Linked DNA regions of Drosophila melanogaster. The protein of the gene in region 2 interacts with the protein of the main gene of each other region in a pairwise test. Each region holds a gene or a part of one and is shown on either strand. Other genes may lie near its edges.

Region 1 (8,422 bases), on a different chromosome or scaffold from region 2:
CGTTTGGCACCCAGACAAGTCCGCCCGTTCAGGGTCAGCAGTTCAAGACCTACTATGCGCCGCACCAGCAGACGCATCCCCAGCAAAAGCAGCAGACCCCGCCGCCAGCTCCACAGACCCCGGGTGGCACCTATGTGCGCACCATTCCCATCTTTGTTGAGGGTCGCTCCGAGCCCATCATCAATGCCCACAAGGAGATACCGAACCAGAACGCTCCGCCCAGTGCTCAGGCCCAAGCTCAGGCACAGGCATATGCGCAGGCGCAGCCACAGGCACACGCTGCTCCACAGCAGCACAACAGACCGACGCCACTAAACACCCAGGCGCAACCTGAGCAGCAGGTGCCAGTTGAGGGAGCCGCTGGATTGCCGCCACAGACACCACATACCCTCAACTCTATTAACAAAATCCAGGACATTCAGCGCGACGTACTGGAGCTCATGGGCAAGGTGGAGCAGTTCAAGGGAACGCGCGAGGAGAAGGAGTACGCCTACCTGGACGAGATGCTGACCCGCAACCTGCTTAAGCTAGACACCATCGACACAAACGGCAAGGACAGCATTCGTCTGGCCCGAAAGGAGGCTATCAAGTAAGTGACCAGAGTCACCAGAGCTCATTATCGAATTTAATTAATTCAATGATTGTTCCTTGCAGATGCATTCAGGCTTCGATAAATGTGCTGGAGGCCAAGGCCGAGGAGAATGCCAGAGCGGCATCAGGAGCAGCACCTGCACCTAGCGCAACAGCTCCAGCGGTTGACACAGGTGCAGTTGCTGCCTCGGAAGCGGCCGGACAAAATGCGGAGCCAGTGACTCCACAGCCACAGGATGCTACAAAGATGCAGGAACCCATCCCTCTACCAGCACCACCAAATGCTGCTGCCGTCGAGGGCGCAGCTGCTTCGGAAGCCACCGCCGCGGAGGCGACACAGTCCGCCGTTCAGTCGGAGACAACCACAACGACGTCGGAATGATGAACACAGCGCCTCTACAAGGCGACCGTTTCGAAGCAGCTACGCAAATTAACCAAATTTAAGTGACAACAGGCGGAGGATAGAGAAGAGTTCCGATCCCGACTCATCAACGGACAGCGACAGACTTGATTTTACTGAATTCAAAGTAAATGTGAAAGTGAATTTGATGTGTAATGTGAATGTGAATAGGAGGAGCTGGCGACGAATCTTTGCTAGTATTTCGTAGAAGCACAACCGTACTATCTAAACATATGCAAATCTCACGTGTCAACCACTCAACACCCACTCATCCCCACACATCATAACACACACACACACACACACACACCACACAGCGTAGATTATAGGCTAGTAAGAGAATTAATATTGAGAAAATGTGCCTGCATAGAATTCGGAAGTTAACAGAGCGAAAACGATTTGGCAACAAGGGTTGCTTCACTTAAAAGAGCTGATTATGTTTAAGCGATAGATGATCACCATGAGGATATTTTTGAACCTGAGTCCAGTTTTTATACGTAAATTGTACCGATGAGCAGCAACAGGGGCAGCAAGCCGCCGTATGATCTCATACAAATCTACAGCAGACGCGCTTGCTTGCCACAGGCCAACTCATCCATCCAATCACGCCGAGTGCACCACTCACGGCTTTGCTGCAGGTGAATTGTTAAACGAACGTAAACTCTTATAGAAAAAAAAAAAAAACTATGATAACTATTTATGCTACTAATTAATGCGAAAATAAATGTAGATATTGTTGACCATAAAACTGTGTTATCCTTCGGTTGCACAATTATCAAAGTTTATTATCGAAAAGGTTATAAATCTCGATCAATAATACATATACAAAAGAACCCTGGATCGGGAATGGAGCGGGCCTTAAATACTGACTAAGTGGTTACTTTGTATGTATCCTAAGAACATTTTAAAAGGACGCAACACGGCTTCGGCAATCGAGGCCAAACAATGATATAATATGTATACAAATGGGAACAACGTATGATAGGGTTGCATATGTGGCATGGATTATACGTTATATAATAATATGTATGTAGATAAAAAACAGACGCGTGATGTACGATAAAAATCTTATAGTCGCATTTAGTCATCGTTGAATCTCTTCTAGGTGTATCGCATTATTGTTCAAGATTATGGGGTAAAGTGTTTAAGTAGCTATAGTCCGGATCCAAAATATAGTTGCTAGCTGCATTGGTGTAGATATTTAGCAAAAGGGCGTCCCAGCTGCTTGGCACTTGGGTTTCCCTAGTTGATGATCTCGACATAGTTTGCCGGAAACAGTCCATAGGTTCCATCAGGGCCCAGTCCCTGCCACCATCCCTCGTCGATTTGATCGATATGCGTAATGACATCGCCTGGATCGAAAGTGATCTCTGTCTCGTCGGCTGCCTGGTAATCGTATAGAGCTCGTGCCCGTTGTCCCAGATCGCCTAAGGTCTCCTGGCAGATAAAATCGTCCTCGTTTACCAAATCCGTTACTACAAAAAACACTCGTGTTTAAATATAGAACGAACAACGGGTCATAGCTATGGTTTACGTACATGCATTCCTTTCGAGTGTGCTCATGCCGCTCGACTTGACCGATTGCGACTGCTGCACGGTGACTGACACCTTGGTGCGGACCTCCTCTTCCTGTTCCTGGGAAACAGCGGTGTCTGTTTCATTGGAAGAGGTGGTCTCGTCGGGCGACTGAGACTGCAGCGAGTTCGATTTACTATGGGGTGATCGCTTGATAGTCGAGAACTGTTCGCTCTCATGGGCCAGTGGCAAATCGTCTACCGGTTGCGACTCCTCCACCTCCGCTATTGTGGAAACAACCTCGGCAGCCACGGGAGCAGCAGGAGCTATAGCTGGAGCGGGGACTACTGGTTCGGGAGCCTCTACAGGCAACGGTTTGGCAGGGGACGCAGCGCGTGGTGGTGAAGGCACAGGTGCATCTTGAGGCTGGTTTTGGTTGAAAACGTTGATGCGCTGGGCAATCGAGTTGCGAGCTGGTTTGGCCGGCGGTTGCGTATTTAGTCTATGAATCAAAAGAGCAGTTTATTTCTGATACAACAAAATAGGAGAGGGGCAAGGACGCACTTAGACTGAAGTTGTCCCTCGCTCGTGTGCTTTGTAAACATGGCCTTGGCAGCACCCACACGAGAGCCAATCAATTCGCGGGCCTCCTGGTTCCTCGCCTGACGCATGCGCTCCGCATCGGTCAGATTGTTGGCAAATCCTGGTGCAGTTTTCTCAGGGCTCAAAGGTTGCGGTGACCTGTTTGATAAAAAAAGAATTTTTACTACCGAGAAGGTCAAATTCCGATGTTTTTGTTTACGTTTTGATGGGTACGTGGGCCGGCTGGAGCTTGGTGGTGCTTATGACCAACTTCTCCCGCTCCTTGTGCTCCTTCTCCTCGCGACTACGTTGCTCCTGCTCCAACTTTTGAAGCTCAAGCCGCTTGGATTCCTTCTCTGCCTCCTGTCGCAATTTCTCCTCGGCCTCCTCCTTTTTCCAGAAGTCCTGCATAACGCTGGCGTTTAACTCCTTGGTGGGAATGACCCGAGTATAGTTGGTTCCCACCGGCGCCTTCTGCTCCTCCATGGCGCCTCGAGGTTCCTTAAAGCTGTAGGCTGAGCTCACGGTGCTCAGCTTCTTGAGAAGCCGATCCAAGTCAATATCGTCCTCGTTCCGGGCATTGATGGTAAGGTGAGCGCCGGACAGCAAATTACTCACATCACGTATGTGGTTGGCGCAGGTACCCTTGCGTAGAACAGGTGCGCCCTCGCCCTGAATGGGAGCACAGTCAGATTATGCGTAGCTCGATTAGATAAGGGCGCCGTCGGACTCACCTGCCAGTTGATGAGCAAGTACTTGTTGAGGCCCGTTTTGGGGTCTTCGATTCGGACGAAGGCGTACATAATCTTGCCGCTATTTAGGTCTTCGTTTAGCTCATCCACGCCGCCATCGCCGGTGGCCACCACCTTCAGCTCGTTGGTCTGACCCTCGTAGCCAAAGAGGGACCAGTTCGTGTCGCTCTTATCGTCCAGCACATCCTTCCAGGCGGCCACTATTTGCGCCCGATTCTTCTCGAAGCTGACGGCCATAATTCCAGACTGACAACGACCTTGAGCAGCGAGATCTTGGCCAGCTTTCACTGGGTCGCCTTATCGGGGTGCCCTCTTCGTCAAGTGAAAGCCAACGCCTCGCGAAGACTCCAAATTTGCTTGGGTTGTCTTGTCTTAAATTTTAATTAAGTGCAGCCGCCTCACAAAGGCACACAGACGTACACAAACACAAGCAGAACAATGGGATAGTGGGTGATTGATTTTCCAGTATGTGCGAATTTCCAGCGGCTTTCCAAATTCCACTTTTCCACCTTAATCCTTCGAGTTATGCGTGCAGAAATAGGTTTAACTTAACGCTCAAGCAATTGCAACTCCCCAATTAACCAATTTGATTGGAATTTTAAAATATTCGATCGCTGGCGGCGACCCACACACTTTTTTTGCAACAACAAACTAGAGCTGGGACAACAGGCGATGTCTAATCGATACTTTCAATGTTGCCACTGTGCCGCTATCGATGGTTTTTACTTGTAAAATTGAAATTAAATAACAGAGGTTTTAGAACGTATCTAGTAACGTGTACCTCGTCTAATAGGCTTTGATTTACTTTATCGTTTTTCTTATAGGTGTTAGTCGTAAAGTTTCAACTATATATATAAGCATTATCTTCTTTTTTAATAATCACACATACGAACATTTTTCGTTTTTATATTTTATTCAACTTTTTTGTATCTCTATCCAATGGAAAAAACTGGTATATGGTGTTTATTCATATCATAACCTTTATATTTGCTTATAATATACTTTGCAAATACTATTGACAAATAATATGTTTTAGGTTGTTAGGTATGTTTACATTGTTTGTACATTAAGTTTTCTAAAAATGGTTCGAGTCAACGCTAATGTTATATGTGGGCTTAAGTCACCGCTGAACAATATTAGTGTTGGTAAGGCTGAGCAAATATCGATGTGAATACAGACTGATGACTTTGGCCATCGATGTTACATCGACGTATCTTCCAGCTCTAACGCGAACTGAACTATTATTGCAATTATACCAAAAATCATCGAACCCCCGCTTTTCCCAGCGCAAATCGTGAAAAGTCGGTGAAAATTAGCGAGGATAAATCGCCGTACAGCTGAGGAGCAGGATTCCAGCGAGGATTTGAAGGCGCACACCTGGCGAAAGGTAAAGTGGCTCCACTGTTGTGGCCTGATATTTACGTATATTAATGTGGAAACTAGACGTCGGATGCTGGCTGGCTGTATGGTTGGCTGACTGGCTAGCAACAATATGGCTCTGGCTGCTGTACTTTGGTCATTGCCGAAATATTCAACGGAGCAGCCCCCGAACTCTTGGTCTTGGGGCCTCCGAAAAAAACCAGTCCCAAGTGCATCGTGGCCCCTCACCGCCCCGCCACCGTGCATGTCCCCTCATCAGCATCCACTTCCACAGCTTTCCGATCAGATGGCAACTGTTTGGCAGCAGGATTTCGCCTTCGTCTTACTTGTTTCAAGTCAGCCAGTCAGGCAGTCAGTCTTTGTTCGCTTTGGTTTGGTTTTGGCTTTGGTTTTGGTTTTGTTCCATTTACATATATGCCAATGCCAGGCTCGGGCGATATATCCAGTTTTTCACTTGGATATCTCGGTGTATATATTGTAAGGCACACATACGAGAGAGATGTGTGTGCGGCTTAAGTGTGTGTGGTGCGGCTGTTCATGGTCAATTTCTTTGCATTTTCAGTGTGAAACTCATGCGGTGCAGATCGAGTCGGTGCAGGAGCAGCGAAACCAAGTCCAAGTCCAACTCCAAATCCACGTCCAATCCCACGTAGAAGCGTTGAGATCATCATGGAAACGGCGCTGGATGTACTCTCTAGAGCGGCGACCATGGTGCAAAACAATCCCAGCGGTAAGTGAACAAACCGATCCGACCCAGACTTACAGACCAACAAAAAAACACCAACTGGAGCCATTAACCAATTCCGTTTAAAAAGAGTCGACAATTTTTATGATTTCAACTTGGCCAACAACATGCCCTGATGTACTCAACCCAAACGGGGCAGTGGGGGTGGGGGTTATACACAGCTCTTTTATGGCTTTCACCTTTGAGCCAAGAAGACTCGGAAAGTATTTCAACAATGTGTCAGACACAGAAAGAAATGCCCAGTAATATGAACATCTTGCGTCTAAAACATTCATGGGAATGTAAAGCAGTGATTCAAATTAGTAGTAGCTCTTTACAAATTTAAAATAATTTCTGAATGGATTTAATGTGAATGAACTTGGAAAACTCTACAAGTCTGCTAAACTGATAAGTCTTAATAGATGTCAAGATTTTTGCTTACATAAAAACATCATTATATTCTAGACTATCAAAGTCACATTATATAAAGAAACAAAATGTAACAAAACGTTTTGCAAACGATTTCATGCCTAGTTAATGAATTCCCAAATGTAATCTGATTATTATTCACATACTTCGTATGCTACCAATCAGAGGTGCTGTTTGTTATCACATTTTGCCATATTACATTTAATCTTTGAATTCAGATTTGCTATTGGGCTCTAACTCCTCTCAGTGTATCCAGTCGCAGACCCTTCTGCGTGCTCCAGTCATGATTCACGATTGCAACAGTGCCCCCTTTCCGGCTGACATCTTCCTCTTTGTAACCGCGATCCCCCAGTCAGACAGTTTCTTCCGAAATTCTACCCACCCGGCGACATCGATGAGTGCGACAATGGACGCAAGCGGATTCCTGGCCGCGAACACTGTGCGAACGCATAAACACTCGACGAATCCGAGAAATGTTTTATTTTCGTACAAAAAAACGACAACAAAACATTCCAACAAAATGAGTTTGCGGCGCATTCCGATTCCGATTTTCATAAATGTGTCAAATGCCGCATTTTCGATGGCAGAGAGCGGCAGTCGAGCGGTTGGCATATGTGAAGTATCGTCGGCCACCGGACCCGGGGACCCCTTATCAATAATAGCCAGCCAGCCAGCCAGTCAGCCAGTCGTTTTCGTAGTGCCACTGCGGCTGACGAGCACGAATTGTCGACTTGATGTGGCTGTGGATGGGGCATTCGTTCGTTCATTTGTTCGTCCGTAGTGCATATTTCTGTACTGGCGACATATCTTTTATATGTATATTTGCAATTTGCATTCTCTGCCCACCATGCGACACACCATGGCACACCACCCAGAGCGGCAAACCGCGTGACATGCCAAAGAAATGGCCGGCAGAGAGTGAGTGGCATATAGTTGTGGTATGGTATTCAGTGCGCTGGATCGCAAATATGTGTATAATTGTTAAACAAAAAGGCAATTTGATTAGGCATGCTCTCCGGGTAATTGCACAATTTATAATGGGGGTAGCAACGATAAGCACATAACCGGCTGTTTGGGCTGTGATTTCGTCCCCTCCCCCCATTTGCCACTGATAACATGCAAATCATGCCTGCCCAGCCATGGAATTCCGATAATAGCCGCCCCAATTTATGTTTATGTTTGCCTCAGTTTCAGTTTCATTTTTCTGTTTATTTACCCATTGGCGAACGGCTTTATCAGCCATAATTTCTGAATATTTGACAAATTCCGCAGCCGATATACATATATGCGGTACAGCTGTCAACACAGCGAGCTGAATTTATGAGATAGCCCCCGCCGATACAGAAAGAGAAATGGTTCCGATGTTCGAATAAATATTTGAAGACGCCGCCGCCGTCGCCGCGCGATTCGTTGGCGATTTGTGCGCGATTTTTTGGCCATGAACAATTGGCCGGCCAACAATTGAGTTCTCAATGCAGCGGCCTTAAAATCAAAATCAGGCAGTTAGACCAATTTTTTTTCGTCTCTTGTGATTTAGCGAAGATGAGCGATTTGATTGATCGGCAGCAGGCAAAATGCAAAATGTCGTTAACCTGCGCATGATTAATGGAAATTTGTCATAATCGAACGAGGCACTCGAATTCTGGATCTTCATAAATCAACAGCGTAGAAAAAAGCGGGTCGATCGAGCCGTTAATTAAGCGGCCCTTCCATTGTTTGCCGAGGAGCTAACTCTATGGGCCAGGCCATAATTAATAAACAAATAGTTACACAAATTGTGGCCTGCCTGCCATCACAGCCATCACAGCCAGCCCAGCCAGCCCAGCCAGCCAGCCTGGGTACAAAAGAAAAATTGTGGCAATTTCGAGCGCGGCTGGCCGGGCACAGCTGGAGATGGACACCAACCGTTGGCTGGGTGAGCATGGTACTGGGGACGGTTCATCAGGTAATTTACATGGCCTTTCAATTCTCCGTTTTGGCCAGTGCCAGTGCCAACTCTGTGGGCCAACACTCTCTTCCTTTTACTGGCAATGGCCAAACGGTGCGCAT
Region 2 (7,943 bases):
CTACGGTTTCTTGGCGATGCACAACGGAAGCCACACGTTCGCGTTGCTGTAACAATGTTTTTTCATTATCTTTATGTAAACCTAAGAGAAAAATTAGTCTGCACTTACACAAATCCACGGATGTTTTAAAGCCTCAGCTGCAGTTATTCGTTTATTTGGATTAACGGTTAGCATTTGATTAATAAGATTTTTAGCTTCTGGAGTAACCGTATCCCATTCTGGAGACGGATACTAAAATAAAGTTATATTTAAATATAATGAATCCACATAAATTATTATAGTTTCCGTACATCATAAGCTCCCGCTTTTATCTGCGAGTACAGTCGGTGCTGATCTTCATCCCAAAAGGGTGGATAACCGACAAGAAGTATGTAAAGAATAACTCCTGAGGAAAAATAAAATAGTTGTTGAACTGTGTAACCGACTGCCGTTTGGCATGCATGTGCATGCAAATGTTACAACAATTATAATTGCTTACCACATGCCCATATGTCTACCGATTTCCCATAGGGCTCCTTTTTCAATACCTCAGGAGACAGATATCCTGGTGTGCCGGCAAATCCAAACCAAGCCTGATGATCGCCTTGAACTTCAATGGCTAGACCAAAGTCAGCGAGTTTCACTGCTGCACCCTTAGCCTTACTAGCTAATAGTAAATTCTCTGGTTTCAGATCTCGGTGCACCACACCATTTTGGTGGCAGTGATTGACCGATTCCAATATTTGTTGAATACAATGTGATGCATCAGCTTCTGAATAAAATTCGCGTGCAACGATATCTTCAAAAAGTTCACCACCGGTTACACTGCAAATGTATGTAGGCATAGTCAAATTTTGCGATTGAAGCTCTAAATTTAAATTTAGGTTATATTTAAGTTGCGACAGCAGAAAACACATCTCTAATATAACAAAAATATATTGCGGCTAAAACTTGATTCATATTATATTATATATATTATATTGCGGCTTTAAAATTTGATTCATATTCATATTATAGTATGAACGAACGGAGGGAAAAGGATGAAGTATGAATCTCAATAAACAATAGTCGAGTCATTGCCACATTTACAAGCATTTGTTAGAAACTCATATTTTTAAAACACTTTTGGGGATAGGCAATTTAAATATTTGGTAAGGAGTCTATGCAGGTTAATGCTTACAGGTCAAAAACAAGGTAGTGATAGTTCTCCTCCTGTATACTGTCATGTAGCCGCACTGAAATTGTACATATTAACAATTTATTAGTTGTATACATTTGTATTTAATGTTTTTTTTTTACGGATGACAATGATTATAAGCCTTAAAGGCTATAAAAATATATGTTTATAAAATACATTTTGAACATATTATATATTTTGTCGGTGACGCTGGAGGAAGTGATGTTTCTAGATTTGAACTGTCCGTGTAAATAACTGTTTTGTTAGGTTACGCTTTTAGTGAGAGGAAAGTCTATTGCATGAGTTCGGTTTTTGCTGTTCTGCAAGTTTTTATAATTATTATAATTATAAATTACTTGGAAGATTTGTTATTGGAGAGTAGGGAGGGCGAGGAATGGAATGTTGCTTGCAGATGCGGATTGATATATCTACTAAACTCTATTTTATTTTTTTCTTCGTTGTGTTACCGTGGACGTCAAACCATCCTTTATCAGGATCACATTGCAAGTCATCAACACTACTGGGGTCTAAGCCGTGATTGAATGTACATATAAAAATTATGTATAGTAGATGTTCAAAGTGATATTAGGCCATGTTCGTCTACTTTTATGTAGATCATACATCTTCAGAAAAACGTATCTTTAAAGAATAAGTAAGTAAATTATATTTATATACACGTTGCATACCTATGTTGGGATGGTGTAACTTTCTGCAGATCCTTGCTTCACGTTCCAGTTTTTGAAAGTCTAAAAGCAAAAAAAAAAAATATATATATATATATATTATAAGCATCTCTTATATGCATACATGCATGTGTACAAATATGTTAATAAGAGGTTTTTGGCGAGCAAGCAAATGGTTCTCTCTAAGCCCAAAATTTGTCCCAGCTGTCATGCTCAAACTTCTTAAAAGTTATTTAATATATTTTTTGTAAATTACACACTTTGCCAATACTGCTATTCCAAAATTATTTTGGCCACGTCTTGGCAGTAAAAATTTATTAATTACTAAATAGCACAACACCAAGAAATACAACTTAATTACTGTAGAACTATTTGATACTTGTGTGGCAAATAGATAGGGACGACGAAGATATTACACAAAAAGAATGGTCCCTTCCAAAAGCGTACTTAGCAAAAAGAAAGTACATTTTACAGGAAAACTTTTTGACAGTCAATGTTTACTACTGATTTCTTACGATATGCCATATCGCCGTTGAAAAAACGGCATCAGATACCAGTTACTCAGCTAGTGTGAATGGGAACGCGAAATTTCATCATTTTTCTAGGATAACGATAGATATTGGGGAATAAAATAAGAAAAAAGTTTAAAAATTGGTCCAAAGTGTGGACGTGACCGGTTGGCGGCTTTTAAGCAAATCGATAGAAGTTAAAGGGCGTTAGAATGGGCGTGGCAAACTTTTTTTTGAGCAAATCGATAGAAATTTACAAGACCAATACAAATGTGAAAAAATATCAACACATTTTTCAAAAGTGAGGGCGTGGCGCATGTGGCAACATGGGTCAACAAACTTGCGCTGCGTATTTGTTTCTAAAATCTGTATGCCTTCTAGCTTGTATAGTTTCTGAGATCTCGACGACCATACGGAGAGACGGACTCGGCTATTGATCCTGATCAAGAATATACATACTTTCCAAGGATCAAGGATCTAGTATACCCTTTTACTGTACTCGACGAATTACCTAAAAACAGCACTTAGTTTCCCTACATGCGTGTGCATAGCATAAATGCGTACATATGTGATTTATAACCTACATAGAACACAGAAAGCCTTACCTCTGGCAGTTAATTTTTTTGTATTGATAATTTTTGCAGCAAATTCAAAGCCAGTTGACTTTTGGACACATCTTTTCACAATTGAGAATGCTCCTCTGAAATGTTAATAGACGGGTTATTATAATAAATTTATTAACCTTGAGTTTGTTAAACTTACTTTCCCAACTCTTCTTTGATGTCGTAATTGTCCGAAAAACGCGTACAGGCTGCTGGTGCAGCCATCGCGATGGCACACTTAAGAAAATCTATTGCGACTAAAGATCTTCAACTGCTCTACAGATTTCACTTTTCAGGAGTTTTATTTCTTGTTTTCTAAACGATTTTTAAATATAAGATAATAAATCAGTTTTACAAAAATTATACAAAAAATTGCTTACAACGTACAAACATACATACATTGTTGTACCATTTAGGTACCATGGGCCTTCTCTAAATATTATTTTGTTATAAAGTAATCACTAGCTGGTTCAAAAGTTTCAGACAGCGTTGGTTCTATGGTATCCAAAGGGGTACTGCATGTATTTGAGAATCCCCCGGCCATCATAGTATAAACTTGCATTCTTCTCTGTATAAGATCGGGCATGAAGCTCGTAAAGTAAAGCTCGCCAATGTAATTCAGAAGTATTCAGAGCACAGATTAGGTAACTTATTTCATAGAAACACATATCGGTAAAATTAAAAGAATGTCTCGCTATTCCAATTTTAAAATTCTATATTACTCAGTGGAGTCGATGCAAAACAGACCAGCAATCTACATATAGTTCTTCAAATTTTAAATGGTTTGTAATAATATAAGGGTTATGTTATTTTAAACAGCCGCAGGTTTCTTATTGAGTTGGTAATTCAAGTGAGTTCTCTTAAAGCACGTTGCTTAAACTAGAAAACTCGACCTCCATTTTGAAGATTTTGGTGGTTGAAGTTTTTTCATGTGATCATGAAATCATACGAAAAAACACCATACTTCGCAAGAAACAACATGTGCGGGGGCACAAATTGAAAAATGTCTGAAAATGTATTATCCTATCTCAAACGTTGAATCTGATACCTTGTTGTTGCCTAGAGATGACATGACATTCGATAGACGAAAAATGTAATAAACTCGATTATTAAACATAGGGGTCAACTCCTTACCAAAGCTACACTTAACTGTTCCCCATGCACATCAAAATAGCAAAGGTATCTACATATGTAAAACCATAACTCCGCGGTTAGTGCAGTGTAAACGGGCCTTACATCGATATGCATATCAACCACTCAGTGGCGTTTTCAATATCAAATTAAACTATGGCCCTGAAAAAATACGAATCCATTGCAGAATTAAAACAAGAGAAAACGCTATAGTAAAGCTTTTCGACTATCAGATAATTGTTACTCAGCTAGTGGAAGTATGAACGAGAATATTAAACATTTTTCTGGCGTACCGATTAAAATTGGCAAAACAATTTCAACAATTTTTTGAAAAAAAATAAACGAAAACTTAAAAAGGGCATGGCACAATCTTAACTTTCTAGCTTTTATAGTTCCTGAGATCGTGGAGTTCATACAGATAGACGGACATGAAAATTCGACTCGGCTATTGATCCTGGTGAAGACTATATATAGTTTAAACGCTCGGAAACGCGTCGTTCTGCAAGTTACATACTTTTCAACGAAGCTAGTGTGATAGCCAGCTGATCAAGAGCAGCAACAATCATTACTATTAACCTATATTACGTATTGAGTAAAGGAATAAAAAATGGAAATTATTTTTTCGTTTTACTTTCCAGTTATTATAGTTTCAGCGGTAACAGCGTTGATACGGACGACAGGCATGGGATAAAGCATGCAAATTTGTTTTCTTGAGAACCAGACATTTAATCCGCCTAAAACTGTAACTCCAATTTTTTTGAAAAATAATTTGCTTCTTTCAGTCTTGAAATCTTTTATTTCGATTTTGCCCACACATTTACAAAGTGTTTTGTTTTTTTGTTTCATTATTTTTATTTATTCTTTTATTTTGCACATTTCTGTCGGGTTGTTAAATAGTCGATGAACTACTGTCACGTTCTCTCTTGTTTTATACCTCTCCGTGAGGTTTGTTTTTTGCCATATCCGGTAACAGCGGTACTGTTAGTTTTTAGTTTGTTGTACGTGTTTTTTTAAAACTAGACCCAATCACCATGAAAAAGAAGTGTTTCCCTGGAAAAGGTATATGTAGACCCTTAATTGCACCCTCGCAATTTTGAAATAACATACTTATAATATAATATTGTCAAGTCAAATGTTACGAAAAGTTTAAAATTTGTGATCAAAACTTTATTATCTTTGTTTTAAACCAGATATATTTAACTCTCATTGACATATTTCAATCAATTAAAAAAAGCGACAGGTGTTTTTGGTTAATTTCTTAAAAAAGAAAATCCTGATTATGAGAATGTATCTGGGAAGCAGTTATATATATACGTACATATATATGTAGGTATGTATCCTTTGCAGGTTACATGCGTTGAAGCTTTTTTTGATGAGCTTAATGGTAAAACGCCCCACCCCTTTTAGCAAGGATATTTCAGGGTCTTGGAAATTACTTGTTGCAAATTATACTTTTTCATTAAATCATATAAACACGCGCTATGTACGCGAATTAAATATACTATTTGGATGAGACCTTCAGAAATGTTTTACTAAACCCATTTTTCGGACTAGGAGGGACGATATATAGAATGTGAAACACTTTTTTAAAATTAAAAAAAAAGCATTTATCATAACTCGTAAGTATTTAGGTATGTTTTAAACTTTCTTGTAGATATCAAGAGTAATTTGTAAGATGTATGTATATTGTGCAATAACAATTACAAAATTTTTAAGTGTCATATATTTATATTTACTGCGTAACTGAACAAAGGCACAAAATGGGGTACATACTGATGTTGTATAAATGTCCTTTTAAGATATAAGTGAAGCGTGTGAATATATATATTAACTTTACAATATGCAATCGTTATACGCGCGAAAAAAGTATTTAATATTAGTTGGCATATACACAGTAAGAGACCATACATATATCAAATATATGTATATGTGTATACTCATGTATATATTAGAATCTGTGTTGACCCAGAATTGTATCAGGTATTATAGATACGTAAACTTATATAAATATACATATATATAAAAATACATAAGTGAGTACATATGTATGTATATTAAATCCAATTTGATACCTATACTTGATGTGTTCTTTTCAATTGCGAATAACAATATTTTAAACTTCAGGAGATCTGATAAATGTTTGTTCAAAATGCTTATAAGAGTATTTAAAAAGCTATATGTATATGTTTTTAACGAGCTGGGAGAACACGAAACACACAGCTAGATACCGAAATTTTTAGAACGTCTGTTTTCTTGAAAATCGAATTCAATACTGACTAACAAGATTTTGCGGCCGCGTTTGATTCGATGAACTGCTAGAGAGAAAAGCTTTTTCGTCTCATAATGTCGTTAAATCGAAAACTTTTGCCAACGACGGTTCGTTTCAGGAGCGTCTGCGCATTAATTTGTGCACATATCACTATACTGAACTACCTCCGCATTAAACATTATTGGGTTGATTGGAACTCTAAAGTAATATATTTCATATTATCTTTTTATTTTAGGCCGTGATTCCATAAAACTGCCCACATAAATGCTCCATAGTTAGACTAATAAGTACTCAAACCAACGTTTCACAACACTTTGTCATGCGCACCGTGACCTAAAATGTTACAAAAAGAAAAATAAATATTTAAATTTAAATTTAATTTTATTTAAAGTAAAATAAATGAAATCCTTAATTTGTAATCATTTCATTTCAGTCTGTTGGAGCTCTTCAATTTACAAATGAATTAGAATTTAAAACTGATATCTGAAACGCACAAGGTATGATTACATTAGCCGTTTTACCCCATTCGTCAATCTGTGTAAACCGCCTCGATCTCAAGAACTATAAATGCTAGGAAGTTGAAACTAAGCAAGTACATTTTAGAGACATAGACTCTTACTCTGACAAAGGAAAATTGACGAGTAAACTGTTTAAAAAAATTTGAGTTTTTCGTAACAACAAAAATAGTAAAGCCGCAATAAAAGAGATGACAGATGTATTTAAACTATTACAGGGCGATATCTTCCATTATGACCTCTTGATTTTCACAGACCCTAATTTCCCAATGCAATCTAAAACACTATAATCAAATATCGTAAAATATTTAAAATAAACCATATTTTCATTGTTATTATTCATAAATAGTTGCAGTACACATACAGTTTGTCAAAAAAGTGTTTAGACACTGTGAAAAAAGTTAAATTTTTGACTTTAAAGGTAAAAATTAAGAATTATTTGCTTAATTAAACGGAATTTTTTTATGAAATATAATTCAACAATATTTATTTTAACTATAAATAAAAAAATTAAAAATATAAAATATACAAGAAAATAAACAACAATTTCTTTACACATTTTGTTGTCCTACTTTGTTTTGTATGTTTTGTTGTATGTTCGTTTTTTTCTATTATACAATAACGGCAAGAGATACAGCATCTATCTATTTTATTTAGTCGAATTTGATTTATTGTTTTTGTAGTCTATCCAGTCGGAACTTCTGAACGTGTAATTTTTTTCCATAATATAGCCGCTTTGTAAAAGTATTCAATGGAAGGCTTTCTAGAGTGCTCTATTATAATGCATTTAGAATAACTCTATTTTAGATATGCTAAGGAAAATAAAAACCTTAAGTTTGCCGATTGCTCATATTTTTATTTTATATTTTTATATTTTTCGGGTGCAAGCCCGAACCCTGTATTGTCTACACAGTCTCCGCAGAATTGCCAGAATATTTTTCAGGTATATATTAATTTTACAATGTTCTTTTTTTTATATTGGGAATATATTTTGCATATATTTTGCATGCATTCCTCTTTTTTAACATACCTACATATGTACGGACATACATTGTTCTATTAGAACACTTATTAAATG

Evidence for each region. The genes of interacting proteins can lie anywhere in the genome.
Region 1: the proteins of CaMKII (region 2) and Abp1 interact in a two-hybrid assay, tested with the Drosophila melanogaster proteins (one large-scale study listed by BioGRID).

What each region holds. Positions count from the first base shown.
Region 1 is NT_037436.4:13,481,781-13,490,202, forward strand, and holds Abp1 (actin binding protein 1), read right to left. Parts: upstream 4,501-8,422; 5' UTR 4,078-4,500; coding exon 3,823-4,077; intron 3,761-3,822; coding exon 3,309-3,760; intron 3,248-3,308; coding exon 3,071-3,247; intron 3,009-3,070; coding exon 2,530-3,008; intron 2,467-2,529; coding exon 2,234-2,466; 3' UTR 1,753-2,233; downstream 1-1,752. Other genes in the region: stv (starvin), read left to right, coding at 1-589, 655-973.
Region 2 is NC_004353.4:1,047,345-1,055,287, forward strand, and holds the start of CaMKII (Calcium/calmodulin-dependent protein kinase II), read right to left. Parts: upstream 4,035-7,943; 5' UTR 3,999-4,034; exon of another isoform or gene 3,350-3,998; intron 3,266-3,349; 5' UTR 3,176-3,265; coding exon 3,111-3,175; intron 3,049-3,110; coding exon 2,954-3,048; intron 1,903-2,953; coding exon 1,843-1,902; intron 1,215-1,842; coding exon 1,160-1,214; intron 805-1,159; coding exon 479-804; intron 386-478; coding exon 291-385; intron 232-290; coding exon 109-231; intron 47-108; coding exon 1-46. UniProt on the Drosophila melanogaster protein: A key regulator of plasticity in synaptic physiology and behavior, alterations in its activity produce pleiotrophic effects that involve synaptic transmission and development as well as various aspects of behavior. Directly modulates eag potassium channels.